Alligator mississippiensis: one gene and its partners. The protein of the gene in region 1 binds, or shares a complex with, the protein of each later gene. Links are inferred from orthologs where the notes say so. Each region holds a gene or a part of one and is shown on either strand. Other genes may lie near its edges. The genes, in order: SNRPD3, PRPF8, USP39 and CWC15.

Region 1 (6,845 bases):
ATCGAAGTTCCCGGATGGCCTTCTGAAACTCATCGTCATCCAAATGATTCATGTACCTGAGATATTGGGAGGAAGGGGAAGCAGGTATTAGCAAAACGTGTCTGTTTCAGTTCGAGCCTCTTAGCATCACAGAAAGGAAAACCTGAAACAATAGGGTTTGGTTGAGAAATGATCACAATATAATGCAGAAATGCATCACAAATTTCAAAGGAGGGAAAAGGGAAGGCAGGGAGGACTTCATTGGTTTTATTACACGTGACTTTCTCTTTGAAATTTATTACTGTCTTGATTGTACGGTGCTAAAGGTATACAGAATACTGCACAGTAAACTCTACTAAACAAATAATGTCTTATCCTGAAGAGTTTACAGTCCAAGAACACACGTACAATATAAAGCAAGCACAACAGGGGTGGGAACTAGAGCTGGGTTGCTTCAAGAAATAGTTGGAGTTCAAAATAATTTTTTTGGAGGAAGAGGAAAGAAACTTTGTAAATATTTATGTATCTCAGGCATTGAGGCTTGTATGAAGAAGGTCACAGGGCAGAGAAAGGAACCAGTTGGGTGGCATTCTAACTGAAGTGGAAAAGGGTGCAAGAGACCAGGGATTTATTCAGGGGCGGTTATAGAAAGCTTTGTAAATGAGAAACAACTGAACTTGTACAGAAAAAAGGAGAAGCTGGAGGCATTCAGGGAGGGGAGGAAACAAGGTCACATTAGCAGGGTAAGAAGATAAAATTTTAGAAGCTGAGTTGTAAATGGGGAGGAGAGGAAAAGAGGTGAAAGGGGAAGGAGAGGCAGAGGTTACAGTAGTCAAGATGGGAAATTACCAGCACACGGACTAACGTCTTGGCAGAAGGGATGGAGAGAAATGAAAATCTTCTGCTTCATAGCTACTAAGTGGACATCTAAATAGGTATTTCACTCTCCTGCACCTAAGCTCATGTTCCTCTGTGGAAGGAAAGACGAGTTCAGCAGGAAGCTAGCACGTTACAAACCGGGCAACACAGAGCATAGTCTTGAAACTCAAGCAATCTCTGGAATGTTAAATGTTTACCTGGCAGAGCAGATACCCTACTGGAGAATGGCAAGATACTAACATCTATTAATATGGGCTAGAACTCCTAGTTATTTGAAAAAGTACAGAAAGGACACTAAGTGAACTGCTGTGCCAAGTAACTGTCCCAGCAAGGAGGATGGATATAATCATGTAAAGTAAACCATGCTACTCTGCAGGGAAAACATTCTAGCAGGTTAAACATGCTGATCGGCAGAATTCTTAATCAACTATTTTGCATCTATCAGAACACATGGTTAGTTACTTAAATCTTTCAGCTTTTTCTTTTCCTCTTGCTAGAGAGCTGGTGCTGTGCCTAGTCAGGCAGCCATAATTCTTGGAAGGGTATGGGAAGAATATGCTTGGATGGAGCTGGGAGGCTAGGTCACAGCCAGCTACCTCTACCAACTTCCACCCTTAGCATTAAGTCCTGATATATGGAAGTGTCTGGCAGTATGAGTAATACTTTCCCCACCCTGTGCCCAAACCCACCCCTTCAACCCAGAACAATTACTTACTGCAAAACCATCCTGGAGCAGGCTAGCCCACAGTCCCAGTGGTACAGCTGCTGAATAACTGGCACTTTCAACTGGATGTAGTCAACTGTAGCAAAAACAATGCATTAATATTAAGAGCATAAGTAAATAAGCCCAGATGGGTATATCCTTCTATGCACTAATTCTTTTGCCAGCTCTCTGTGCTGTACTGGGGCACTTTAAAAAAAATGAGGCTGAGAAGCAACTAGCTGATGGGAAAATAAGTGTTTCTAAAGAAGTCCATTTAGCAAGAAGTAAAACTAAGGTGTGGTTTAACCTGGCACTGCCTCTTCACTGACAATTCTACACTTTCCTCACACCTATCCATTTTTCTGGTTGGTGAAATCCCTGGTCAGGGCCTCTGTCTGAGTTCCAGCAGAGCAGGGGAACCACAGATTTTCATCTTATTGTGGTATGTTCAAAACATTCTTTTTACCGATGTGACTTTGGAAACCCTCTACGTGTCAAAGAATGCACCCAAACAGCGAGAGTATTCATCAGGCAAATGCAGCAGGTCATGCCAGAGGAAATACTAATCAAGACCGTAGTGTAAACATAGGCAACAAAGCTCCACAGGAAAAGATCTCTAAGCCTTCTCTACAGATGTAGATCTTGTCGGTGACACACCCAATGTATTACTGTTTATTCAAATAATGATTTTGCATTTAAAATCAACTCTTGGAAATTACACTTCTTGGCCTTCTGCATTATGAGCTCACAACAACAGTGCCAAGTAAAACAGAAAAAAAAAATCCCTATAAGAAAGCCTCAGATTGTTGAGTTAAAATACTGTGCAGCCATAAAATAAACTGCAAGGATGTCTGCCCCTCCCCCACAGGAGAAATTATAAGCTTTCTACTGTCAAGGGTGATGATGAAACAGTTTCAACCTCACTTCCTTATCCACTGCCTCAGAAGTTTTAAAGTATCCAGAGTCAGTTTCAGCCCAAACAGGTTTGATGTCAAGGGCCTTGTGTCCTCAAGAACCTTCCCGCTTGAAGTAAGATGACTTGAGGAAGCTGTGTTAACACCACGTTAATCGAGCTTTCACAAGTCTTCTGATGCAAAGACAAGAACAAGACGCGTTCAACGTCATACAAGCTAGTCGTGATCAACATCAGCTTTTCAACATCCTCCTCCTAACTTGCTGCAACTTGCCACTGAAGGTATGTCCTGGCCGGCATGCAACAGGAACAAGCAAACATGGATTTTGGAGGCTCCTTCCAAAATTCCCGTGCATCCTGCTGTTTTGAGCCATCCCCCCGCGTCTCTGAAAACCGGCGTTCCTGCTGAGAACCGCCAGTCTCTCCTGGTAGCCTGCCTGGCTAGCACAGATCAGAGCGCTCGGACTCATTATGCTACAGGAAATATTAACCCCAGGCGTCTTCTCATATCGGAAGGTATGAATCATTTGTCACAAACTAAAACGAGTCGGTAGTCAGTTTAAAATGAACAGAAGGAGGCTCGCTCTCTGGCAGGGTGGAGCACCCTGCCCACGGCCAGGGGACAACGGGTCCTTGGAGGGAAGGGACAGCAGTCAGTTGCTACTGAGCGCGGGAGCGGGGGCTGGCGGCTGTGAACCAGGGATGCCTCGACCGCAAATCCTGGAGGCTACAAGTGGGAGAGGCACAGCGGGACATCAGACCCGGGTCGCCCTCCCCGTCAGCACCTGCTCTCTGCCCCGGCCAGACAGCAGGGACCGGGGGGCCGACCCAGAGCGCGGGCTGCGCTGGCCGCGGACCCCGGCGCAGCGGACAAGCCTCGGCCCTGCAGCAGCGCGGAGCAGCAACAAGTGAAGCCCGAGGCTTGGCCGAGTCTCCTGGATGGATGCCGGGAGCCTCTTGCCCGCGTCGCCGAGCCCGTACGGGGCCGGCCGGCAGCAAGGCCGGAGGCGGAGCAGGCTGCGGACACAAATCCTCGCCCCCACCCCCGGGGCCCGCGGCGCTGGAGGCCTCCCAGGGCCGGGCAGCGCGGGGAGCCGCCCGCAGCCGCTGCCCCATCCCGGCGGGCGGGCCGCACTGACCTGCGGGCGGCCCCGGCCCCGGCCCCGGCCTCGGCTCGGCGGGCGGCGGCCCGGCCTCCCGGGGGCTCTTCATGGCGCCGCCTCAGTGGCCGGGGGCCGAGCCGGGCTGCGGGGGTCCCCTCATGCCGGCGCCGCCGCCTTTTGCGCGCCCCGGCGCTGCTGTCGGGCGGGGCGGGGCGGGGCCGGGGGCGGCCCAGGCGGGAGGGGGAGGAGCGGGAAGGGGACCGTGCGCGCCCAGCTGCACCGGGACAGGTCGGGGGGCCACGGGCGGTCGCCGAAGGGGCTTCTCCCCGCGCCCCACAGGGAGAGGGGGCATGAGGGGGCTCCTGTGCAAGTGCCCGGGGCCGGGTGGGGCACGCTGCTGCCGAGGGCGCATGGCGTGCGTGGGCGGAGGCACCCTGTCGCCACTCGGCGGGGGGAGGCGGGAGCAGGACGCGGGCGGAACCTTCCCCCTGGCCGCCGCGTCCCGCCGGCCCCTTAGCGCGGGGACACCCGAGTGGCGCGTCCCCGTTCGACCATAGAGCCGGGGCGCCGCGGCTTAGAGCTGGACGCCGGACTTCCGGTTCCGGCGCGCGGGGCAGGGCGGGAAGTGCGAGAGGCCATTAGAGCGCTGCTGCGGGCCGCACGTTGTGAGCTTCGTGCTAACGGTGGGTGGCGGCCGGGGGAGTTGGCCGCGGTTGGCGTCTCTTAGGGGCGGCGTATTTGTTTCCCCAGAGCGCGTCGAGGCGCCTTCTGCCGTGACGGGACCCCGGGCAGAGCCCGCGGGAGGCGCTGACCGCCCCCGCCTTGTCTTGTTCTCTCCCGCAGGGTAGAGCCGCGCCGCCGCTGGGATGTCGATCGGGGTGCCCATCAAGGTGCTGCACGAGGCCGAGGGCCACATCGTGACGTGCGAGACTAACACGGGGGAGGTGTATCGGGGCAAGCTCATCGAGGCCGAGGACAACATGAACTGCCAGGTAGGCCGGGTGAGGCCCCTACTCTACCTCAGGTGCTTGTCTGAGTGACGGGCTTAGGGTTGGTAAAACACTGCAGTGCTGAAGCGGAAAGCAGGGAGCTGCACATCTCAGCTTGCTTCTGAGGCCGCTTCTGTTTCTACCATAAACAGACACTTATCCTTTTACCAGGTCTGAGTATGTGGTGCTGGTGACAAGAGCTTCTCATATCATCAGCCAGCTTGAGTTCTTCCTTCCTTCCCCAGAAGAAATTTTTTTCCCCTAAGTTTATTTTATAATTGCCTTTTTTTGAAAAGTGTGTCAAATCGGGCTGGGGCTTCACTGTGGCTGATTTGAGGCCAAATGTTCACATTGAGCAAAGTATTTCCTTGGCTGATGGAAGTAATGAAGCATGAAAACATCTTTTTCTATAAAGAAGCCTGTGTGGAGGTGGTTAACCACGTTAGCCTGAAGTCTCTGATTTGGTTAGTCGAAGGAACAGGATGTGTTGCAGTTACTCTAGTTAAAGTGTTAACACTTAAGCCACCATGTGGACAGTCTCCCTCCTCTGGGATACTGTGAATAGATGAGTGTGCGGATGACTTAAAATGCCCAGTCTGACACATGCAGGAGGAAAGAAGAGTATTTAAATGTTCTACAAGGCAGTCTGTTGCTTTCAAGCTGGATTTACAGCTGTGCAACACTTGGCTGTTCATTAAGTACTAGGCTATGTAGCTTGGTCTCTTCTCTCTTTCCCCATCATGTTATTTACATGCTCAACTAATTTAAATCTGCTGTGTACTAGACCCAAACAGCTCTTCCTATTTCTAGACTCCACACCCGAATTCTGGAGGTAAAACTCATTGTGTCAGAAGTATTGAGTAGCTTTTGTCTTCCAGATGTCCAATATCACAGTGACATACAGAGATGGGCGAGTGGCACAGCTGGAGCAGGTGTACATTAGGGGTAGCAAGATCCGGTTCCTCATTTTGCCAGACATGTTGAAAAATGCTCCTATGTTAAAGAGCATGAAGAATAAAAACCAGGGTTCGGGGGCTGGACGAGGCAAAGCAGCTATTCTCAAAGCCCAAGGTAAGTACTTCTAGTTGGTTCTTAGCTTTTCTGATAACGTACTGACATGGTAAAATGGATGCATCGAGAATACTTCAGCACAAGTGGCTTGGTATAATTTATTATTAAAATATAAAAGTTGGGAGTTTAGTTGCCAACCTGCGGTGCAAATTAAATGATTGAGTAGTTTGGACTTCAGTTTGTCAGTATAAATTTTGTAGTGCTTCATTTAAAAAACAAAAACAACACATCCCCAGAAACAACCTAGGAAGTACGCTGATGAAGATTTTTTTTTTTTTTTGAGGCAAGTACCAATAGCTGACTCTTTTCAGGAGGCATCTGCTGGTATTGATCGGACTTCTGATACCAGCCCAGCAGCTTGGAGAGCTGTGTGCAGCTGCTGAGTCTGTTGTGGTGGAAGGGGCCAGGAGGAGCAGATCAATGACCCCGCAGTGAGGGAAGGAGTAGGTCTGGGGCTGGGGTAAGTGCTGCCCAACTGGGGAGGGTGTGGGATGGAGCTGTGGCTTGTCCGGGAGCCACTGGGCTGGCACTCGCCTGGCAGCTCACACCACTGCTCCTGCTGCTCGTCTAGGGGGTGGGGGTGGCATTCCCCCCCCCCCGATCTGGGTGTGATGGGCTGGGAAGAGCCCCTCCCAGATCTGGGGGCACATGCCCCCCTTCCCCCATGCCCTCCCGGATGAGTGGTGGGAGCCACTGGGCAAATGCTGGACCGGTGACTCCTTGACAAGCAGCGTGCAATGGTGGGAGCTGCCCCATGCACCCAAGACAAGCTGCAGCTCCATCCTGTGCCCGCCTTGTCCCAGCTGGGCACCTCTTGCCCCAGCCTCACTTCTCCCTCATGGCAGGGACCTTTTGATCTGCCCTCCCCCCTCCCCTTCCCATCCCTTCTACCACACCAGACTTACTAGCTGCACACAGCTCTCCAAGCTGCCAGTCTGTGCTCCTTGCTGACTGTGCACTGCACTGTAGCTATGCGCGCACACAGGCATTTATCAGCCAAATTATTGGCCACATCAAGCCAATTTCCGGTTTACGTTCAATTTTCTTTATGCCAGTGCTTATCCGATATCGGACCAATGTATCAGTGCACTTCTACAAAAAACTTTTAAAATACCAATATTGGTTCTGAAACCGCTTTGGAAAGAGTCAGTTCTGGTGTCCAGTATAATCCTCAATATCTTTGTACTTCCTAAATGTGTGCACACATT
Region 2 (7,162 bases), on another chromosome or scaffold:
TGCGTGCCTGGAGGGCGCGGAGCCAGGCCCGCACGCACCTTGCTCAGCCGGGTCCTGTCGTAAGGCACGTGCCTTTCCTTGGTCACCAGGATGACCCTGCCCGTGAAGCCCTCCTGCCGCAGCGTTTCCGCACACACCAGCGAGGCTGGGCCTGAGGGAGGAACGGTCTGAGCCCTGCCATGCCGACCTGGCACCACGCAGGCAGGAGGAGGGTCCAGCATGGCTGGGGAGGGCTCAGGCCGGGGTCCCACTCGGGCGCACCCTGCCCTGCCCACCTCCGCCCAGCAGCAGCACCGTGGTCTGGTTGATCCCGCAGCGCTTGCTCATGTCCTTCAGCCTCCGGCTGCTCTCCAGGTCCTAAAGGAAAGCGGGTCAGGGAAGGCAAGCGGTGGCCCTCGCCCTACGCTTGGTTGCGGCTGCAGGGGGTGGGGGACGACGAGGCAGGTACCTTTCTCCTGGCAGTAATGAACACCTTCCCATCTTCCACTTTCACCTGCGGGGACCGGAGGAGAGTGGGAGGTCAGCGCTGCACTGGCGCTGCCAGAGGCCCTGTGGGCCGAGGCGCGGTGCCGGGACGGGCCAGGCAGGCTCTGCTAGGAGGACCTGGAGCCCCAGTGGTACCGACGGACTGGGAGCAGGGCACAGCCTCCGATTCCCCTGGGGCCGTGGGCTTGCTTTGCACGGGAGGTAGCTTTGTGCATCATCCCCTGGCGTGGGCTTCAGCATGGGCACCTGGGTCTGGTCCAGGGACCCCCAGGAAGCGGAGAAGCCCCACGGTTACAGGAGCCAATGCAGATAGCTGCAAAGAGCCTGGGCAGGGCCCGTCCGGACACCTGCCCAAGCAGCCGGGGCTGGGCTCGGCTGGGACAGGGTCGATGCCCGGGCACGGCGACGGGGTGCAGCCAAGCCACAGTCACCTGGAAGCAGGGCAGGCAGTCCAGAGTCGGGTACTCCTCGATGTCCCCGGTCTTGATGTCAAAGCAGGCGCCGTGCCAGGGGCAGCGCAGCCGGTTGCCCTTCAGCACTCCTGCGAGGCAGACCCGGGCAGAGGGTGAGCAGTGGGAGCAGAGCTGGCTCCAGGACTCCCGTGTGCCTGCTGCGCTGGGCAGGGGCACAACCCCGCGGGGGTACGGGGGCAGGCGCGGGCGTCCTCCCCGATCCCATCGGGGGCTGCGGGGCTGTGGGGCGGCGTGTGGGGCGGTGGGGCTGCCCTCACCTTTGCAGAGGGGCGCTCCGTAGTGCGGGCAGCGGCTGCCCAGGGCCCAGAACTGCGTCCCGCTCCGCACCAGCAGCACCGGGAAGCCGGCGACCTCCACCTCCCGCAGCCTGCGGGCACAGGGCGGCGCGCTGAGCAGCGCCCCGGGCACGGGCACGGGCACGGCCAGGGCTGCCCAGCCCGGCCCGGCCCGGCCCGGGGCACCCACCGTCCTGCCGGGCAGCGCGGGGGGGCACTCACTCTCCGTCGCACACGTCGCACTCGCGGCACACCTCCTGCGTGACCGTGCCCGGGTCTGTGTCGCCGGCGGCTGCCTGGGGGCTGCGCCCGGGGAGGAGCGGGGTGAGCGCGGGGCGCGCCCGGCCCGGCCCGGCCACACCCGGCTCGGCCCCCCGCCCGCATCTGCGGATACTCGCCTGCTCCCGGGCTGCGGCGCCCTGTCCATCGCGGCCGGCCGAGCGCACCCGGCGGTGGCGGGGCGAGGCGGGGCGGGCCGCGCTACTTGTAGCCGCCGCCGCCCACGGCGCGTCGCCTTGCACAAGGTGCGGGGCTGCACCGCGCCCGCCGCCCGCCCCCCCGGGCCGTCACGTGCGGAGCTCCCGGCGGGGCGGGCGGGGCGGGGCGGGCTCCCGGCATACCCGGCTGCTGTCGCCCGGGCTGAGCCGGAGCAGCGGCCCCGCACGCAGCTCGGCCGGGTGGGGCGGAGCGGAGCGGAGCCTGGCCCAGGTGCGGGGGCTGCGGGGCTCGCCGGCCCGGGCACACGGAGCCCCCTCGGGCGGGTGCGGGTGCGGGAGCCGGCTCGTGCCGCTGTGCCGCGCTGGGCGCCCCCCGGCTCCCCGCGTTGGCCGCAGGAGTGGGCCGGGAAGGGGCTGGAGCCCGCCCGCAGGAGGCCCGCCAGGCTCGGCCGGGCAGGGGCCGCCTCTCCTGCGGGTCCCGGGGGGACGAGACTGCTGACTCTGCTTGCAGAAGCTGCTTAGCTGCAGAGAAAGAAGCAGCGCTTCTGGTTCTCCGACTTCAAAGCCCAGAGCCAGGAGCTTTGTTTTGTTTTGAATTTAATTTGTATCCAAGGCCAAACCGGCCAAACCCAATTCCAAATCCGAGCGCAGAACTGGAAGCGGCGCTGCACCGCCGCACACCCTCCTCCTGCACCTGGGGCTTCAGACGTTTCCAAAACCTTTGGCGGGCGTCCTACTTGCAGGCCCAAGCCCAGAGGTTTGGGGCTTGGATGCCCCCAAGTTTTGCTTGCCCTCAGCCATAAGACCCCAGGAGCAAGCAAGGGACGAGACCTCCCGTTCCCGTAAACTGGGCTTAAAGCTGCTGCACCTCAGTGGGTGCTGAACCACGCCAGAAGAGCAGTTCTCCCTCCTGTGGTGCGGTTCAGGACAACGGCCGTCTTGGACACAGCTACGCGCTATCTCCCCTGCCAGGTTAAGCAGCCGCCAGCTTGTCCTGAGCCTTCAAGAGGCCGAGACGTGCAACAAGGTGCCAATGGGAGGCGTAAATCAGAGACGTAGCAGCTGCGGGGACCAGGACCTTAACCGAGACAAATGCATCGTCTGTACGGCAACCCTGGCTGAGCGTCTGTCCAGCTCCTGGCTGGGGACAGCAAGTGCTTTGGGCACTACTGGAGGGATGTGGGAGCCAGGGTCGTCCAGAGGACGTGAGAGAAGCCAGGATGTTTTGGGGTGCTCTCTCTTGCTGGACAAAAGATCCAACGGAAGACATCGCCAGTGTCTTTCAGCATCGCCGCCGGGGAAGGAGGGCTGCACCTGTGTCGGGGACGGTGTGAGCGAGCCCCGGGCGCGGGACGACCCGACAGCAGTAGCTCCTGAGCGAGCAGCAGGCAGGGGTGAGAGCGTACGACCTGGGCTGCACCTCCTCCTGCTCCCGCCGCCGGACGCGCGCCCCTGCGCTCTCGCGCTCCTCCGGCCTTTGCCAAGGCGTTTGAGTCGCTTCCTCCTCCAGGGTCGCGGGCTCTCGAATGCTTCCCGGTGCCTGCGAGCTGGTCTAATAAAAGGTGTCGTCCCTGAACCAAGAGCTCTGGAGTTGTGCATTCCCCCATGCTGGAGCAGCTGCAGAGACGCGGCCGCCAGGAGCGAGCCGGTCTCCGAGGAGCGCTCGGGGTCGGGCTCTGGCTTTGCCCCGCGGCGGGGGCCGAGCTCAGACGCCCGCACCGGTTCACAAAGCCAAGAGCTTGTTTTGAGCAGAGCTGGGATAAAAAACCTGGGGATTTGCCCGATGCAGGCAGCTCCTGAGGGCCTGCAGAGAGGGCTGGGAGCCGCGCTGGAGCGGGGAGGTGACTCATGGGAGTGTGGAAATAATCTGGCTTGAGCTGACTCGTGACACGCGGATTACGACGGGTGTGAGATGCCCGGCAGGCAAGCCGCTCGCTGGGCTTCACCCACACAGACGTGAGCGGGGCGTGCGCGGGACGGCTGCTCGGAGCTGCGCACGGCGCCACGGCCCTGCCTGCGTTTCGGGGACGGCGCCGCCCCTGGAGGCTGGCCAGGCGCTGCGGAGAGCAGGGCCCAGGGGACGGCATGGCAGTGGTGCTGAGCCCGGTGGCTGCAAGGGGAGCGTGGGGCGCACGGGGGCATCCTGGGCACGGCCCCCGTCCCTTCCCCTCGCCGCCCGCGGGAGTCACCCGCTCCCAGGCTCCTCGCGCCCGGCCGCACGTGGCCGCACGTGGCAGGCGACACCCGCGCCGCTGGGGGGCGCTCACGCCCACCAATCAGGGCGAGCCCTGCTGGGGTCAGGCCTGTCCCGGAAGTATATCCTAGCGCGCGACCCCCCCTCCTCACGCCCTCCTCTTCCGGCCAGGGCGCCCGCCTCCTCCCCGCGCGAGTGCTCTGATAGGCTGCCCTTCCTCTCCGTCTCGCAACCCGAGAGCTCATTGGTGCAGGCGCTGCCCCGCCCCCTGGCTGCATCCGGGTGCCTGGCGCGGGCCGCCATTGCGGAGCGGAGCGGAGCGGGGCCATGGCGGCCGTGTTCCCGTACCGCGCGGGCTGCGCGCCCGTGCCCAGCCCGCTGGCGCCGCTGCCCGACTACATGTCTGAGGAGAAGCTGCAGGAGAAGGGTGCGTGGCGGGGCGGGGCCGGGGGGGAGGGGCGTGGGGGGCAGTGGGGGAGGGGCGGGCCTGACTCGGGTCTCGCGTGTCCGCAGCCCGCAAGTGGCAGCAGCTGCAGGCGAAGCGCTACGCGGAGAAGAGGAAGTTCGGGTTCGTGGACGCGCAGAAGGAGGACATGCCGCCCGAGCACGTGCGCAAGATCATCCGCGACCACGGCGACATGACCAACAGGAAGTTCCGGCACGACAAGCGGGTCTACCTGGGGTGCGTGTTGCGCTATGTTGCGCTGCGCCGTGCGGGGCGGGCCGGGCCGGCGCGGTGCCGCGTGCGGGAGGCGCGCCCGTGCGGCGGGAGGCACCGTGCGGGTGGCCGGGCGGGTTGTGACGGAGCGGTCGTGCCGCAGGGCCCTGAAGTACATGCCGCACGCCGTGCTGAAGCTGCTGGAGAACATGCCGATGCCGTGGGAGCAGATCCGAGACGTGCCGGTGCTGTACCACATCACGGGCGCCATCTCCTTCGTCAACGAGATCCCGTGGGTCATCGAGCCCGTGTACATCGCGCAGTGGGGGTGAGCCGCCGCGGCCCTCGGGCCTGGGGGGTCTGGGGCGCGGCTCGAGCCGGCGGGGCGGGCCGTGTCTGATGGTGTCGGGTTGTGCCAGGTCCATGTGGATCATGATGAGACGCGAGAAGAGGGACCGGCGTCACTTCAAAAGGATGCGGTTCCCCCCCTTCGACGACGAGGAGCCGCCTCTCGACTACGCCGACAACATCCTGGACGTGGAGCCGCTGGAAGCCATTCAGCTGGAGCTGGACCCGGAGGAAGACGCCCCCGTGCTGGACTGGTTCTACGACCACCAGCCCCTGAAGGACAACAGGAAGTGAGTACCCTTTCTCGGCGGCGCGTTTCACTGCAAAGCGTCGTGCGGCGCCGCCGAAACGTGGCCATCGGGAGGAGAGCAGCAGACGCCGTGCGCAGCGTGGGGCGCGGGGTGGGGGGACCGGAGCGTGGAAGCTGTCCTGGGCCCTTCCGCGTCTGCGGAGAGCTCGCGGGACCCGGACACTTGAGGTTGCTCCTGGCCAGACGTCTGCAACGAGATGAAACTCGGCGTATCTTCCAGGGAAGCACGAAGGACTGAATCTGGAGTCAGAGCAGCGTTTCGGGAGAACTTCGTGCGTGGTATTTAGACAGTGTTGTCTGCTGTGAACGGGCCGGCTGCGTTATGCTTTGGCCAGCCAAACCTCCTGGGGAAAATTGCATTGGCACGTTGTGCTGTCTGGCAGGTTGCTTGCTACAGTCCCAAGCGTTAACATCTAAATCTTGGGTATAGGGGTAGAGAGGGGAGTTTGCACGGTAGCAGGTGGAGGTGCGCGTTGTCTGGAGCGGACTGGAATAAATACGCAGTCTTCCCTCCTTTTGCGGAGGGAACGGCGAGATGATTCGCTTTCCCGTTTGCAGTAAGTGGGATGGGGCAGAGAAGGCGCTTGAAGGGTCGGTCGCCTTCTGGCCTGGCGGTGACTGGTCGGCGCGGTGCTTTCCTTGCAGGTACGTGAATGGTTCCACATACCAGCGCTGGCAGTTCACACTCCCCATGATGTCCACCTTATACCGCCTGGCCAATCAGCTGCTGACAGATCTTGTGGATGACAACTACTTCTATCTGTTTGACCTGAAGGCCTTCTTCACTTCCAAGGCCCTGAACATGGCTATTCCCGGGGGTCCCAAGTTTGAGCCTCTTGTTCGAGACATTAACTTGCAGTAAGTGCTGAGCTGGGGACAGGAGGGAAGATGGGCGCTGCCTGGTCTGGGAGTGGGATCCTCAGTGTGCTGCGCGATTTGTCCCAGGCCAAATGCTGTTGGGCGGCTCCTGGCAGCGAGGTAGTCGTGCATGTGGGTAGGCGCTTGTTTCTTTAGAGGCTGCGTCGGTATTGGAGTGGGGGAGGGGGTAGAATGCGAGGGCGCTGCAAATGCTGACCCTGCCGTTTTGGTCCCTGACCTTTGCTTGCACTGCACTCCGCATTCTCACCGGATGGCCTCTCTCTTCTCAAAGGGATGAAGACTGGAACGAATTCAATGACATCAACAAAATCATCATCAGGCAGCCCATCAGGACAGAGTACAAAATTGCTTTCCCTTACCTATATAACAACCTGCCACATCACGTGCATCTGACCTGGTAAGTACAGCCCTGTCTGCTGCCTGGGGTGTGGAGAGTTTGTCCAGGCAAGACGCGCTAACACTTTGCACGTGTTGCAGGTATCATACGCCAAATGTGGTCTTTATCAAAACAGAAGATCCGGACTTGCCAGCTTTCTACTTTGATCCATTGATCAATCCAATCTCTCACAGGCACTCTGTCAAGGTGAGTTACTGCCCGTGAGCCAGGGGGGCACTGGGCTGGGAGAAAGGAGCCCTGGCTTGGAGCCTTGTGTAGACCTCGTGTTGAGGGAAGGGCTTTGGCGTAGCGTAATGACTTTGCCTCACGTGGTAGCCAATGCAAACTGCCAGGGAAAATGATAGGCCTGTTTGTAAAAGCGTTGCTGTTCGGTGCTGTCTGTGAAGGGGCGTGATCCTTCCTGGCCCCAACCAGCGAACAAGGGCGTGATTCCAAGCAGTGGGCTGATCATCTCTCCGGCACCGCAAATGAGTCTGGTTCACGTACAAATCTCTGATCTCTTCTGAGCTCCGCTAACTTGCTTCTGCCTTCACAGTGTGCACCTGTGACTTCCACAGTGTAGTTCTAGCATAAGCTTTGTCTCTGTACCCACTCCTGGCACCCTGTCAATCACCGAATGTGCGAGTAGGACCCCATACGTATACTACTTTGCTGACATATAAAATAGGGGAGTCTACTTTTTTTTTTGCTCTGGTCATTAAGATA
Region 3 (7,137 bases), on another chromosome or scaffold:
GGTCACATCTAGTCTAACCCCCTGCCTGAGGCAAGATCAGCACTGTCCAAACCATCCCAGACCCATCCATCATCTAAACTCTCCATAAGACAATGCTGGCACAACACCAGACATCACCTCTGAGCCTTCCAGAGAAAGCAGGGGAGCTGTGGTGGCCAGCATCCTGCTGCTGTAAAGAGTTGTTAATAGATGCTCCAGAAATCCCCGAGGAAGTCTGTGCCTCCACTACAGAGGAAGGGAACCCTTCCCCCCCACTCCATACCAATCTGACTGGGGGAGAAATTACTTCTAGACCCCAAATGCAACTGTGGTCTGAGCATGAATGAAAAGGCAAGATCCTCTAGCCAGGACGCTATGGTTCGAGTCCCAGCAGGAGCACTGGTACAGCCCAGTCGCCATCCCCATGCTGGGCTGCAGCCAACAACCAGTGCCTCTAGAGAAGGCTTAACCACTCCCCCCGCCACCTGTATCATGCCTCTTAGGTGCCTTTTCCCCCCAAGCCCAGCTCCTTCATCCTCTCCTTGCAGGACTTGCTTTCCAAGCCCTCCATATTTGTCACTAGCTCTGGACCCTTTCTCAGATTTCCACATTGTGTTTAAAAAGTGGAAGCCATAATGGCATGCAATCTAGAGTAGAGGCATGATCACCTCCTGCATCTTGCCCCAACCCACCTATTGATGCCTCCCAAAACCACATCCACCTTGTGTGCAGCTGCTTCACACTGCAGGCTCTCAGTTGGGATCCAACCCTAGGTATAGGCAGAGATTTGCTATGGGCAAAAAGAGCCTGTTCCAGCCCCTAGGCCTGGCTGGACCACTGATTGCTACATACGCTGCTTGTGCAAAGCCTTTGCTAAAGCACTGGCTTGATCAGTGCCCCTGACCAATACCTGAAGTCCTGATAAAAGCAACATTAGGCACTTGAGCCAGGCATGGGCTCCTGTCATGGGATGGCTGGACAAGGGGTGGAATAGTTCAGTCCCAGAAGGCTCAGGCTGGGATGGGAACCCATCCAGTAAAGCCCAGAGGCCCATGATCCCTCCAGATATTCGAGAGACCAGTGGAAGGTGACACACCATGTGCATGGATGGCTGTAGAAAAGGAACCAGGGAAAGGATGGGAACTGGCTCAGCCTAGAGGAGTCTGAATAGGGGTGTGCTATGACATGGACAAACATATGTGCACGCCTTGGCTGTCAGATCATGTGTGTGTTAGGGCTGTGCCTTGTGACCAAAAACCTGGCGGGGCCTTGGTGACTGACCGGAACTCACAGTTGTCTCTAAGGTTTCTTCGTGCTGTGCCCCCTGCTCCTCCCAGTCCCTCCCGTGTCTCAGTCCCTCCCCTAAACATACCGTGATATCCTCCAGGGAGGAGTCAATGATCTCGTAGTTGTCAGGCAGGCAGTAGAACTTGAGCGTGTGCAGGTTCAGGAAGACATGGTGGCTGAACTGCACACTGTGGATGTAGGCGTGGGACTTCAGGCCGCGGCCTGCACGTGAAAGGGGCAGTAGTCAAGGCACACACATCTACACGTTTGCATATATACACCTCCACACACAGATGTGTATAAACGGACACACATACACATGTACACACATACATAGACATGCATACACAGGTATGCACATGGATTTTTGTACATATATGCACGTATACAAGTGCACACACATGCACACACAATTACATACACATGTATATATACATATATAGACACATACATGCAAACATGTACATATACATTCCCACACAAACAAGGATTTATGCATGTGTACGTGCACATGTATGCACGTGGATTTATGTATAGGCATGTGCACATGCACACTTGCATGTATATATGCATGTATACATGCACATCCACACGTACATGTATTTGCATTCACAATCACACATGATCATATATGCACACATGTTTGTACATGCAAAGCTAGGCTGTGTGAATGAAGTAGCGCTTTGCTGGAGCGCCCTGGGCACACTGTACAGCAACAGTAGCGTTATGCTTCCCAGCTTTGCTGGCTCCTGAACCGTGAGGCCTGGGGGAAGAGTCAAGACCAGAGGAACCCGCTGCAGGCCCCTGCCACCCGGTCCCCCTGCATGGTGCTGCACAGTCGCATTTGAGCACTCACCCTGGAAGTACTTGCCGCAGACAAGGCAGGCATAGACGTTGATGTGCGACAGGGAGATGGAGCAGAGCTTCTCAAAGTCGAAGTCCAGGACACTCCTGGGAGTGAATGGGGAAGAGGCTGAGTGGGCAGGGCCTGAAGGTGGCCCCAGCGCAGACCTGTCTGAGGCCGCCTCTGGGACCTCCCCCTTGCCGCACCCCGGCTCCCAGCCCTGGGCCGGCAGGAGGCAGATGTTGCCCCTGCTCCAGAGCCTGGGCGGGTGCGTGCACATAGGGGCATGGCGGTCATGGAGCACATGTGGGCACGCCTCTATGCCGAGGCAGACATGTGTGGTACATGCGAGCCTACACACATGTGCATGCCAGTGTGGCCACACATGCACACATGTGCACACGCCCAAGCACCCTGTGCACGTGAGGTCCTGCCCCGCACCTGTTGATGGTGTCTAGGTAGGGGCAGTGGCGGCTGCGCCGGTCCTCGGGGTCAAAGCGTCCGTAGCGCACTGCAGGACACGGACACGCGTCAGCGGCGGAACCCAGGCGTCCTACCTCCCCTCCCCTCCCCCGACCCGGCCCCCCGCGCCCACCGGTGACTTCGGGCTCCGGGTCGGAGTCGGCCTCTGCCTCGCGCTCGCGCTTGATGCGGGGCGGCCCCTCGGCGCGCTCCCGCTCCCCGGCGCGCTCCCGCCGTGCGCGGTCCCGCTCCGATTCGGCCTCGCGCTTCAGGCGCGCGCGGTCGGGCTCGGGCTCCCGCCGGGCGCGGCCCCGGTCGCGCTCCCGCGCCGCGCCCCCCCGCGAGTCCCCGTCAGCCTCGCGCTTGCCCCGCGCCGAGCCCCTTGGGGACGCGCGCAGCTCCCGCTCCCGCTCCCGTTTCACACGGCTCGACATGGCCGCACCCCCAACACAGCCCGCGTTGCCTCTCTGCGCATGCGCCGCAGCGATGACGAGGGTGGAGCTGGGTAGAACCAAGCGCTTACTTCCGCCTTTTTGCGCATGCGCCGACACGCAGAGCCTGTGGGCGTCTGCTTTACTACGGATCCCTGTTTCCATCCGATTCGCATTTCCCCTCTGGTGTCTCTCGTACATGCGCACTCACATCCTAATGATGTTCAGTCAGAGCTGACCCTAACTCCCCCCAGCAGCCTTTCTAAGATTGCGCATGCTCCCTACGGGCTGCCAGGTGGCCGACCGCTGCTCTCCCCGGAGTTCCCTCCTTAAAGACACAGCGCCCCCTTTTTTCCCGTTTTTCCTAGAAGCTGCTCGCCGCCCTCGGGCCGGGACGTCTCTGCTACACCAGGCCCCCCGCCCCGCCCCGCCCCGCCCCCTCGGGGCGCGGCCCTAGCCGCCTGCACAGCCCGAGGGGGACCGAGTCCCCAAACCCACCTGGGGGGGTAACGGGGGGCGGGGCCGGGCGGCGGCCCGATGGAGGCGGCCCCGGAGCCGGAGCCGGAGCTGGAGCTGGAGCGGGGCGGTGGGGGGCGGCCGGGCGGGCGGCTGGACATGAGCCACGGCTTCGTGCGCAGTATCCGCCGCAACCAGATCGCCAGGTGCCGCCCGCCGTGCCCCGCACTCCCCACCTGCCCCCCACCTATCCGTCCCCCGTGCCCCCAGCCCCAGCGCCCCCGGGTTGAGAACCCCTGCCCCGCCCGAGGCTTCTGCCCCCCATGCTGGGGACCGCTGGGAGACACCCGGCCTCATGCCCTGCTGCCCGCAGGGATGACTACGACCGGGAGATGAAGCAAGCCAAGGAGAAGGTGAAGAAGAGGCACACGCCAACCCCCCCGCGGCCCCGCAAGCCCGACCAGCAGGTGTATCACCCCCGGCGGCGAAGTGAGCCCGGCGCCTGGGCTGGGGGGCAGGGGCAGCAGCAGGGGCAGGGGCTGCAGGTCAAGGCTTAGGGGCAGGAGGCTGCCCCTCTGCCCTCACAGGCCCCTCTCTGCCCAGGCCAGCCGGACCCCAGCTACAGCCTGGACTACGAGGGCTCCAGCGAGAGCAGCTCCAGCCCCGAGCCTGACCCTCGGGGCCCCGAGCTGTTCTGCCTCGAGTTCGAAGCCGACAGCGGTGATGTCACAGCCGTCATCGTCCACCAGGTGAGGGGCAGGGTGCCCGGGTAGGCGGGCTGCAGCACCCCAGGACAGCACTAGCGGCCTTAGGTCCTGTCTGCAGTGCCCTGGGGTCCAGCAGGGGTCTCAAGCTCCTGTGGGTGGGAGGGCAGGGGGCAATAGGGTGCACCCCCTGGACAGGTGGGTTGGCACCTGGCTGCACAACCCCCAGGCCCACCAGGAGGTTGGCACTTGGCTGTAGTCCCTGGGGTCTGGCAGGGATGGGAAGGCGGCAACACCATGAACAACTGGTGCCTCCCGAGACTGGGGGAACACCATTTGTCGGCAGCGAGCGGGGACCGTCAGCAGCGACAGTGTCGGTAGCAGGGGGGAGGTTGCGAGTGGGGACTGGTCGCAGCCATGTCGGCAGCAAGGGGGTGGCATGTGCCCCCCCCATACCTGCCTATGCACTGCCTACAGCCACCCCCAGGGGCTTCAGCATGAGCTACCCTCTGCCCCGCAGGCCCCGGCTCATGGGGGCCGCAACCTCTCACCCTGTCTCCCCGCAGGATGACAGCCCTGAGGAGGTGGCGCAGCAGGTGTGCGCCCACAGCCCGCTGGAACCTGTCCTGCGCCAGGCTTTGTGCCAGCGGGTGCGGGAGGAGCTGCACAAGCGCCAGGCCAGGCCTTGAGTGGGCAGCGGGCGCTGGGCCTGAGCCTGTCCCGCAGCCCAGACAATAAACACTGGTGGGAACACAGGAGTCCAGAGCTGTTTTCTCCTAGGAAACTGAGGCAGAGCGGGTGGGACCAGAGGGGTGCTGGCAGGGGGACCCAGGTATCTGGGAGGGGCCAGGCCGTAGGAGGTTGGGGGCAGGTGGAAAGGGGAGATGGTGGGTGTGACATTACAATGAGGTCACAATGATGTCATGAGAGGAACAGGAGTGTGTGGGCAGACAAGGGGTCGGGGAAACGGACGGGCACACACATGCCCCTCCCCCCAGCAAAGAACCCAGGTGTCCGGGCTGGGGGATGGGGGCAGCCGCGCCCGCCCCTTCTTGGCTGGCTCATTATGCAAGCACCGCCCCGTTAAGTGACGTTATGGGACAGCGGCGCTGGGCACGCCGGGAGTTGTAGTCCCATGGAGAGGGCGGCAGGACTCTAGTTCCCGGCATGCCCCGCGCGGGAGGGGGCGGGGCGGGGCCGGCCTGGCCCTTTAAAGGCCCGTGTGGACTCGGCGCGGCCGGGTAAGGGGTGGGGGTCCCGTGACAGGATCCCCGACGCCTGGTTCCCGCCGGGGGTGGGGGCGAACAGCCTAGTGGTCAGAGCAATGAGGGGCCAGGAGCCCGGACGCCTGGGTCCCCTGCCTGGCTGGGGCCCAGCTGTGACCCTGGGGGGAGGAGGGGCTGCTATGACATCATCCGCCCCGTGCCTCAGTTTTCCCTCGTGGGGGTGGCACTCTGGGGGGCCTGCCCACTAACTGCGTCTCCAGTTCCCCCCAGCCGGGCTTGTTCCCGGGGCTCCTTCGTTAGCCACGTGGTTGCAGCAGGGTGGGCACCAACCTAGTCCCTCCGAGTTGGGGGGGGGGGAAGCCAACTGTGCAGCCCCCATTCTCCTCCCCTCTCCCCCGCGAGAACTCAGGCGTCCGGGCCCTTGGGAGCAGTCTGATGGGAGTCCGGGCACCTGGGTCCCTTCCCCAGGGGTGGAGGTGAGAGACCGAGTAGTTAGAGCATAGCTGGGTATCGGGAGCCTGGACACCTGGGTATGCTGCCTGGCTGGGGGGTAGAGGGGCAGGAGCCCAGACGCCTGGTTCTTTGGGGGTCCAGGCCCTTCCAACATCTGTCCAGCAATCTGTTTACCCCCCACCCCCCCGCAGCCTCCAGATGCTTCGGGGCAGAGACGCGGGGCAATAGCCAGTGCCCCCCCCAACCCCCCAGCTCCCCCCTGCCGGCCCTCCCATGACCGCCTGGATCATCCTTCCCATCAGCCTCTCTGCCTTCTCCATCACCGGCATCTGGATTGTGTGAGTGACTCCCAGGGGCCCTTACCAGATCTGGTTGTAACGTCCCCACCCCATGTCCTCGCCTCACCCCGCAGTGCCACCTCCGGCCAGCAGAGGGGGCCTGGGCCTGGGCTCGGGCTCTAATGGAAGGGGGCACTTAGAGGTTGATCCCCACCCCCCAGCTCCCCTCTCTGGGCACAGGCTCTGGGATGGGAGGCAGAGCTCCAGGCCCCACCCCCAACCAGGCATGTCTGGGTCGGGGTTGGATGGGAGGGATTGGAGGGGGTGCAGTGAAGCAGGGGTGGTTGGACAACCCCTCCCCCTCCCGGGGAGGTGTCTTGGGGGAGGGAGGGAGGGGGGGAGGGAAAGACAGCCAGCCAGGAGATGCACATAGAGCCCAGGCATCTGGGAGTGAGGGAGAGACTGACACAAAAGAACACAGACCCAGGTGTCCTAGAAGAGGACAGAAGAGACAGGAAAACGACCCAGGTGTCCGGGGGGGGGGAGGGGATAGATAGGAAAGGACAACAGGACCCTGATGCCTGGCCAGGGACAGGTGGACCGATGGGCAGAAACGTACACACAACTGAGGTGCCCAGGAGTTGGAGACAGATGAATATAAAAGGACTCAGACAACCCAGGTGTCCTGGCAAGGGACAGATAAGACAGACAGACATGAAGACACCCATGGAACCCAGCCATCCAGGAGCAGGACAGATGGACACAAAACCACATACAGAACCCAGGCATCCAGGAGGGGGAGACAGACAGACAAACAGGAAAGGACATATACAACCCAGGTGTCCTGGCAAGGGGCAGGTAGACAGATGAAAACCCATACAAAACCCAGGCATCCAGGAGCGGGACAGATGGACACTTAAATGCATGCAGAACCCAAGCCTCCAGGGAGGGGGAGATAGACAAACACAAAAGGACACAGAACCCAAGTGTCGTGGCAAGGAGTGAATGTGCAGACAG
Region 4 (7,247 bases), on another chromosome or scaffold:
AGAACCCCATTGTGTTAAGTGCTTTATAAACATGGAACAAAAAGATGGTTCCTATCCCCCAAAAGCATGAATTTTCTTATTATTTTTATGTTGTTTATATATATATATATATATATATATATATATATATATACACACACACACACACACATACATACATATATATACATATATATGTATATACACATACATATATATACACATATATTATACTTTTTTTTCCCCTCCTTTTTGTCACCTGCGCTAAAGTGCCTTTCCTCTATCCAGCATTTTTTACTCTGCAGAGCTAAGAAAATGGACCTTTGCTTTGCAGAATTTGCCCTTCCCTGTGTTAGGTTTATCCTGCCCGGACCTGGAGCTGGAGCTGGGAATAAACATTCTCTCAAGGTGTGCGTGTGTGTAGGCAGGTCCCTCCTGATGTACAATACAATATGTTGGTCAGTTATGGAGCACATATTCTGTAATCACTGGTGTGAAGGCTGTGAAAATGTCAGTGAGCCCTGTCTGCTAACTCACCCCTAGCTCAGTTGCTCCATTTCTTTCACTATCCCCCCAAGAGTTACTCTCTCAACCACACTAAAGATTCCACAGTAATTTTGAGCCTGCAAACACATCTGTAGGTTTACACCTACAGGAGAAATGTAGACGCTGCTGGGATGAAGAGCAGCAGCCAATTATCATCCAGCACCCTCATGTTTTGTGATGTCACTTGGGCTGAAAGACAGCAAAGTAAAACCCAGAGTAAGAGAGAAACTCTAAAAACCATCAAACAAAAAGCTTAAAAAAACCCAACCTGAGACTGAATGAATGCACCTAGTGCCATGCCCTGGGACCCATTAGAGCTGCACTCGGGAAAAGTGTTGAAGGAACCACATTTGGGAGGGCAGGTGTTCAGCTAGGAATGTCCTGCCACCACCTCCAGAATTCAGCCCTGGGTAGGGTTACCATACTTCCAGTTCCAAAAAAGAGGACACCAGCCAGGGAGGATACCTCACTCCCAACCCACAGCCCCATGACCCTGCCAGTGCCCCTCACCCCCAACCTGCAGCCCCCCGTCCCTGCTGCTGCCCCTCACTCCTGACCCACAGACCCCTGGCCCTGCCGGTGCCCCTCACTCCTGACCTGCAGCCCCCCTAACTCCCTCCAGCAGGGCTGGAGGGGGTCTCCAGCTGCCCCCATTCGAACTGGGTCAAAACGCAGCAGCTACAGTGGCTCTGGCTCGTGCGGGCAGCAGTGGAGCGAGTCTGCTCCTAGCACAGGCTGAAGGTAGGATGAGATGATACCTGTAACACCCCCTGCCCCAGGCTGGGGCTTCTGCACTGCGCCAGGTGGGCTATCTATGCATCCTGGCCCCCGGGCAGTGTTTCCCAGGTGCCCTGCTCCTGCAAGCATGGGTACCTGCCCTGGTGCCACTAGCCCATCCGTGCAGCTCCCTGCTGCCCCCAAAGGACCCCCCACCCCTTCCCCTGTTGAAGGGTCAGGTGTCTCCCTCCTGCCCCTGTGCCCTGCCGCACCCTTTGCACCCCCCCACAGTCATGAAGCCTTGGCTCTCCAACCCCTGTCCTCACAGCCTTGCCTACATCAGCTGCTGAGGCTGCTCCCACCCCCTGCCTGGCTGCGTGCCAGCCACAGATGCACCTGGTGACCCTGCCTCCAGTCACCAGTGGAGCGGAGCGGAGAGGAGCAAAATCCCAGATATTCAATTACATTTAGAAAAACTGCCTGGACAGAGATCGGAGGACCCAAAAAGAGGACATGTATGGGAAAACCCAGACATATGGTAACCCTAGTCCTGGGGAACAACAGAGCTAAATTCCACAGCTGCATTGCACAGATACAGTGCGTAAGAAGCAGTCTCTGACATAATCAGATGCCAAGTCATCCAGTGATGCAATACTCACTGGGTAGAGGGAGATAAGGGGCTGTGTTAGACACAGGAAAGAGGCAGCTTATCCACTAACTGGTGCATCTCTCCCTGGCTGTCGGGCCAAGGGGAAGGGCAGCTCCTGATTCTCTACCCTTAGCTTTTGGGGCCCCCTGCTGGATAGTCTCATCAGCTGCAGCCTCGGCAGGAGGCTGTGCTTGGAAAGTTGCTGCCCTGAGATTGTAAGCACACAGATCAGTGGTTCTCATCCTTCTTGGACCCGGGGTGCCCACCTCTGGTCTGCAGGCCAAATGCAGCCTGCAGAGCCAATGCACCTGGCCTGTGGAGCTCCCCACGGATCAGAAAATTTGGTGGTGGGGGAGCGGTGGCCATCCTCTCCCCCTGCCATATTCCCAAACACCAAGCCCATGTGCCCAGTCACAGCCACGCCAGGTCACCTTGCCCCTGAGGGGGAACAAGGCCATGCTCCTTTCCCCTTCAGCCCTGTGAAGTCCCTTCCCCGCTGCCTGGCTGGGACCAGGCCAGGCTGTTGCCCAACCTCCTCCACGTGGCCAGAGGTGGCTACTGCATTGACCCTGGACTCTGGATCAGAAGCCTTATCTGGCCCGTAGTCGGACCAGGTGCTGCCGATTGGGCCCACCGGGGAAAAAGGTTGAGCACTGCTGAAGGCACCCCTCATTAGGCTCAAGACAACCAGAAAGTGGCAGCTCTTGGCATTCACTTCTTTCTTTGGGATTGGAAAAGAGGGAGCAGACACATTCTTGCAGGAAAGGGGCATCAGGAGTTATCGAGCTCGGGAGAGAGGGGCACGGCCTCAGAATCAGCACTTCCTAAACCTTAAATGCTGGAGGCTGTAAGTGAGAGAGGAACAGGGGAGAAAACCCTGGTCAGGCCCAGGTCCCGCTCCCTTCCACTGTCTGCTGTCTGCCCCCGTGTGACACAGGGCACTGGGCCAGCCGGCCCTGGGGCCTGACCCAGTCCCTGATGTTTATCATCATGACGACAAAGCAACAGAGCGATTCTGCTGCTGCAGAGACCGGGATTCTGCTGCCTGAGCGTGCTGCTGATGCCCAGGATTCCCATGGGAATCATGTCTAAGCACCTGCAGCCCCTAAATGTGCTAACAGCGGGCTCAGCTCGCGGCACCCTTCAAAGGATCTCTGGGCACCACCTGGGCACCATGGCTCCTGGATGAGACTTGCTGGCACGGAGCAAGCAGCCAGGCTCATGGGGTGGGGGTGTTGCCAACCTGGGAGCACTGGGATGGGCCCACAGATGTGCTCACAGATGCCTCCTCAATCAAGAATATAACGAGTGAAGAGACCGGACAAACAGAAGGACGATTTGGGTGGAGGCAGAGGGAGAGCACTGAGGGGTCTTTTATGAAACTCTGACATTCTCAAGGGAATGGTGGTGGGTGCACGGGCAAACTTTGTAATGGGACAAAAATAATGTAACTGTTGAAAGTAGGGTGCCAACTCTGTTTGAATCTATCCCGGGAGGTTTAATCACATGATGTAATGACATTAATGACGGATCTACTGACTGTACTCAGGAAGGTAAATGCACATGACTATTACATTTTAAAAACACACTGGACTACTGTATAAATCGGATGCGACATTTCATAATTGATTTTAATGAATGCCCTATCATGCATCTCCTGGGTGACTCTTGGCAGTCTCCTGGAGCTTGTATCTCATTCCTGGGGACTCCAGGGCAATCCTGGGGGGGTCGGCAACCCTAGTTAAAAGTGTGTTTTTGGTCTCTCAAGTGAACCACAGCAGTCGCATGACAGCTTGTCAGAGGCAGTTGTCTATGTTTAGTTATATAAAGTGTTTTTTATATATATATATATATATATATATATATATATATATATATATATACACACACACACACACACACACACACACACACATATATATAGTTATATATATATTTGTATAGTTTAAATAGTTTTATATATATGTAGTTATATACAGCTTATTTATATATATAGTTATATATATACAGAGATATATAGATATATATATATGTTTAGCTGTTTATATTTATTAGAAATAAACATTTGGGCAAAAACTCAAAAGCCCCTACTGCCACTGAGCGCCCACTGCGCAGGCGTCCCGGGGGCGGGGCCAAGCACTCACAGGCGGGCTCTGCGGCCAATCAGCGTCCGGGGGGGTGCAGCGGGAAGCCGCCGTCTCCACAACAACCTCAGGGCGGCAACTTCCGCCTCCGTAATCATGGCGGACACGCGGCCCGGCCTCGGACGTGACGCATTGATCTGCTCATAGGCGGGAAGCGGCTGAGCCTGGCCCCACCCCGCCCCGCCCCGCCCCGCCCCTATGGTCTGCGCGCGGCGCCTTGTGGGACGGCGGCGGAGTTATGGTGGTGGCCTAGGCGCCAGGCAGCGCAGCCGGGAGTGGCGCGGCGCCCGGGGAGGCGCGGGGCTAATACGGTGCGTTGTGGGCGGGGGGAGCGAGGCCTGCTCGGGCAGGGGAGGGGTTGCTGGGTCCTCGCAGCGCCTCCCGCCGGCAGAAGGGGGGGGGAGGAGCCGAGAGCAGGCCCCCGCCGCGCCGGGCCCCGGCGGAGCTGGAAGCACCGGGGGCGGCGCGGTGTTGGGGCAAAGGGGCATCCGCAGCCTCCCGCCCGGCCTCCGGGTCACGTCCTGCAACGCTGGAGGCTGCGAGCGGAGAGGAGCCATTGAAACAACCCCCCCGGTGACACCAGCTGCTGGGCAGCCTGGACCGAGGGCCTGGTCCAGCAAATGGCAAATTTGTGTGTTCTTATGTGACTCCTCGGTGGTGTCACACTTCAGCCTGACCCGCTTGAAAATCTCCCTCCCTTTCAGTATAACGAAATGGTTGCCGGCCGGGTTGTGACAGGCCGTGTTGCAGCCCAGGTGTGTGAACGCCTCGCGTTAGGAAGCGTTCTCGACGCGGTGATTCCTAGATAGCGCACCCGCGGGTACGTGTCTCTCACCACAGTTAGTAGTAACGGCCATATTTTGCATTGGATTCCCAAGTAGCTGAGATGACAACAGCTGCCAGGCCAACGTTTGAACCTGCGAGGGGTGGGCGAGGAAAAGGCGAAGGAGACTTAAGCCAGCTCTCCAAGCAGTACTCCAGCAGAGATCTTCCTTCTCACACTAAAATCAAATACAGGTAAGCGCTGGTTTGTTTCTCCTGAAATATTTTGCGCAGCGATTCTTCGTTAAACCTAGTTTGAGACGCGAGTAATTATTGAAAAACAAGTACTATAATTATTAGCCCTCTGCGTGGAAAGGGGATTACTGCTGAACTAGAAAAAGAACTGCAAGCTTTAGCCTAAGGGGCAGATACAGAAGATAAAATGGATTTGAAATTATTAGAGTGTTTTATTATTGAATGTACTGTTAACTTGCGGTTTCTGGGTACCATGATGGAAGCAGGTATTCAGAAGTGGTCTGGGTACACAGAGGGTGAACTGGATAAGAAAGATATCCTGCCCCCAGAGGTTGTTTTGGGAAAGGATATAGGGACATGTTAGACAGGAAGACGTAACTGTATGCATATCATAACTGGTAACATTTACAGAACAAATAAGGTGATGAGACATGCTAAAAATGGTTTTTGAGGTTGGATGGGGTCTTAAAAAAAAAAAAAAAGGACAGATAGTTTTGAATGAACATATTGATTAAAAAATAACCTGTGGAGAGACTGGCAGGTGGAGGAGGATAATAGACTCGCATTGGGCAAGGTAGATCACTTGGCAGTTTTGCCCGTTCACTTCCAGTATCTTCAGTGATGTTTTCCTTTACTTTTATTACCAACCACATTCTGAAAGTGTTTGTTCTTTAGGTCAGAGGTGTCAAATATATGGCCTGTGGGCCAGATCTGTCCCATGCAGCCCTATCATTCAGTCTGCGGTGCTGCCTGTAGGTCTTGGATCATCCCCATGTGCTGCATGTGGGATGCGGGGCTGGTCGGGATCAGGGAAGTAGACTAGTTCCCCACACAACATGGGGCTGGCATGCTTACTGCATGCAGTATGTGGGGCTGGTCCAGGAAGCATGCCAATTCTAGCATGCAGGGGGCAGTCTGTATACCTGATTTCAGCCTGTAGACTGGCCCTGTGCCTCTCATTTGATCTGCTGGGCTGGATGAGTTTGATGCTCCTTCTTTAAGTTTATGATGGCTTTTTAGTAGAAGGAATGTTGTTGTGATTTTTCATTTACAGAGGGCAGTGTAGGCAAAAATGCATACGAGTATATAATATATAACTTATTGTTCTTTTGGATGGTTTTTTTTTGGTATCTTCTGCTATTCTTCCTGAACACTGATCTAATAGGTTGGCTTTGTTAAATATATAGCCAGAACTTCATCACACAAATTTAAAAGTGGTCACTTTAGTCCGTCACCTCTTTTTGAATGACACGGTAACATTTTGGATTCTTGTGATGGTAACATCAATTGTGGGCACTCCAGTTCCTTGTTCTTATTTATACAGTAGGAAAATTGAACAATATGTTAATACTTATGGTATATTTTATAACTGCTGAAGTCTAGGATTCCTTTAGGTATTGTAAGCACTTATTTCTAGAAGTGAGTTCATAGAGGGGTGGAGTTCATTCCTGTTCATTTCACTTGTTTTACATTCTTTTAATATTGGCACCTAAAATTGAACAGTCCTTGGAAACCTTATATTAATGTGGGTTAATATAAATCAACTTTGCTGACAGAGACTTCTTAAGTATGCATGAATGGAAATATTGTATATAAAAATTTATTGATGTGCTTTTTCCTACTTAGACAATTAGGGTTGGAAGGGACCTTAGGGGAGGTCAAGACTGTTCTCAGTGGTGGCAGATAACAGAACAAGGAACAACGGGCTCATGTTGCAGAAAGAAAAGTTTAGGTTGGATATTAAGAAAAACTGTCTCACTAAGAGGGTAGTAAAGCACTGGAACGGGCTACCCAGAGAAGTTGTGGAATCTGCATCCTTAGAGGTTTTCAAGACACCGGTAGACAAATCCTTGGTTGGGATGATCTAGTTGGGGACAGTCCTGTTTTGATCAGGGAGGTGGACTAGACCTCCTAAGGTCCCTTCCAGCCCTAATTTTCTAAGTAGGAAAAAGCACATCAATAAGTGTTTATATACAATATTTCCACTCATGCATATTTAAGAAGTCTCTGGTACCATCACAAAAATTAGGGTTGGAAGGGTCCTTAGGAGGTCATCTAGTCCAACTCCCTGTTCAAAGCAGGACTGTCCCCAACTAGATCATCCCAACCAAGGCTATGTCTACCGGTGTCTTGAAAACCTCTAAGGATGTAGATTTTACAACTTCTCTGGGTAGCCTGTTCCAGTGCTTTACTAC

What was found.
Region 2: SNRPD3 (region 1) and PRPF8 share a complex: the UniProt entries of both Homo sapiens proteins name them as parts of the U4/U6-U5 tri-snRNP complex. The link is inferred for Alligator mississippiensis from reciprocal best matches to the Homo sapiens genes SNRPD3 and PRPF8.
Region 3: SNRPD3 (region 1) and USP39 share a complex: the UniProt entries of both Homo sapiens proteins name them as parts of the U4/U6-U5 tri-snRNP complex. The link is inferred for Alligator mississippiensis from reciprocal best matches to the Homo sapiens genes SNRPD3 and USP39.
Region 4: SNRPD3 (region 1) and CWC15 share a complex: the UniProt entries of both Homo sapiens proteins name them as parts of the minor spliceosome. The link is inferred for Alligator mississippiensis from reciprocal best matches to the Homo sapiens genes SNRPD3 and CWC15.

The regions. Positions count from the first base shown.
Region 1 is NC_081833.1:19,337,903-19,344,747, reverse strand, and holds the start of SNRPD3 (small nuclear ribonucleoprotein Sm D3), read left to right. Parts: upstream 1-3,832; 5' UTR 3,833-3,865; intron 3,866-4,165; exon of another isoform or gene 4,166-4,260; intron 4,261-4,420; 5' UTR 4,421-4,443; coding exon 4,444-4,569; intron 4,570-5,444; coding exon 5,445-5,637; intron 5,638-6,845. Other genes in the region: protein GUCD1, read right to left, coding at 1-56, 1,574-1,658, 3,260-3,590. UniProt on the Homo sapiens protein: Plays a role in pre-mRNA splicing as a core component of the spliceosomal U1, U2, U4 and U5 small nuclear ribonucleoproteins (snRNPs), the building blocks of the spliceosome.
Region 2 is NC_081837.1:504,362-511,523, reverse strand, and holds the start of PRPF8 (pre-mRNA-processing-splicing factor 8), read left to right. Parts: upstream 1-4,152; 5' UTR 4,153-4,192; coding exon 4,193-4,292; intron 4,293-4,378; coding exon 4,379-4,547; intron 4,548-4,686; coding exon 4,687-4,851; intron 4,852-4,942; coding exon 4,943-5,161; intron 5,162-5,826; coding exon 5,827-6,039; intron 6,040-6,331; coding exon 6,332-6,457; intron 6,458-6,537; coding exon 6,538-6,643; intron 6,644-7,162. Other genes in the region: apoptosis-inducing factor 3, read right to left, coding at 39-151, 276-357, 449-493, 918-1,027, 1,217-1,326, 1,457-1,537, 1,633-1,661. UniProt on the Homo sapiens protein: Plays a role in pre-mRNA splicing as core component of precatalytic, catalytic and postcatalytic spliceosomal complexes, both of the predominant U2-type spliceosome and the minor U12-type spliceosome.
Region 3 is NC_081830.1:10,641,731-10,648,867, forward strand, and holds the start of USP39 (ubiquitin carboxyl-terminal hydrolase 39), read right to left. Parts: upstream 3,009-7,137; 5' UTR 3,007-3,008; coding exon 2,706-3,006; intron 2,622-2,705; coding exon 2,552-2,621; intron 2,218-2,551; coding exon 2,123-2,217; intron 1,489-2,122; coding exon 1,352-1,488; intron 1-1,351. Other genes in the region: C7H2orf68 (UPF0561 protein C2orf68 homolog), read left to right, coding at 3,541-3,665, 3,833-3,948, 4,063-4,208, 4,730-4,852; TMEM150A (transmembrane protein 150A), read left to right, coding at 6,116-6,180.
Region 4 is NC_081824.1:447,193,692-447,200,938, forward strand, and holds the start of CWC15 (spliceosome-associated protein CWC15 homolog), read left to right. Parts: upstream 1-4,236; 5' UTR 4,237-4,346; intron 4,347-4,913; exon of another isoform or gene 4,914-4,916; 5' UTR 4,917-4,921; coding exon 4,922-5,052; intron 5,053-7,247. UniProt on the Homo sapiens protein: Involved in pre-mRNA splicing as component of the spliceosome. Component of the PRP19-CDC5L complex that forms an integral part of the spliceosome and is required for activating pre-mRNA splicing.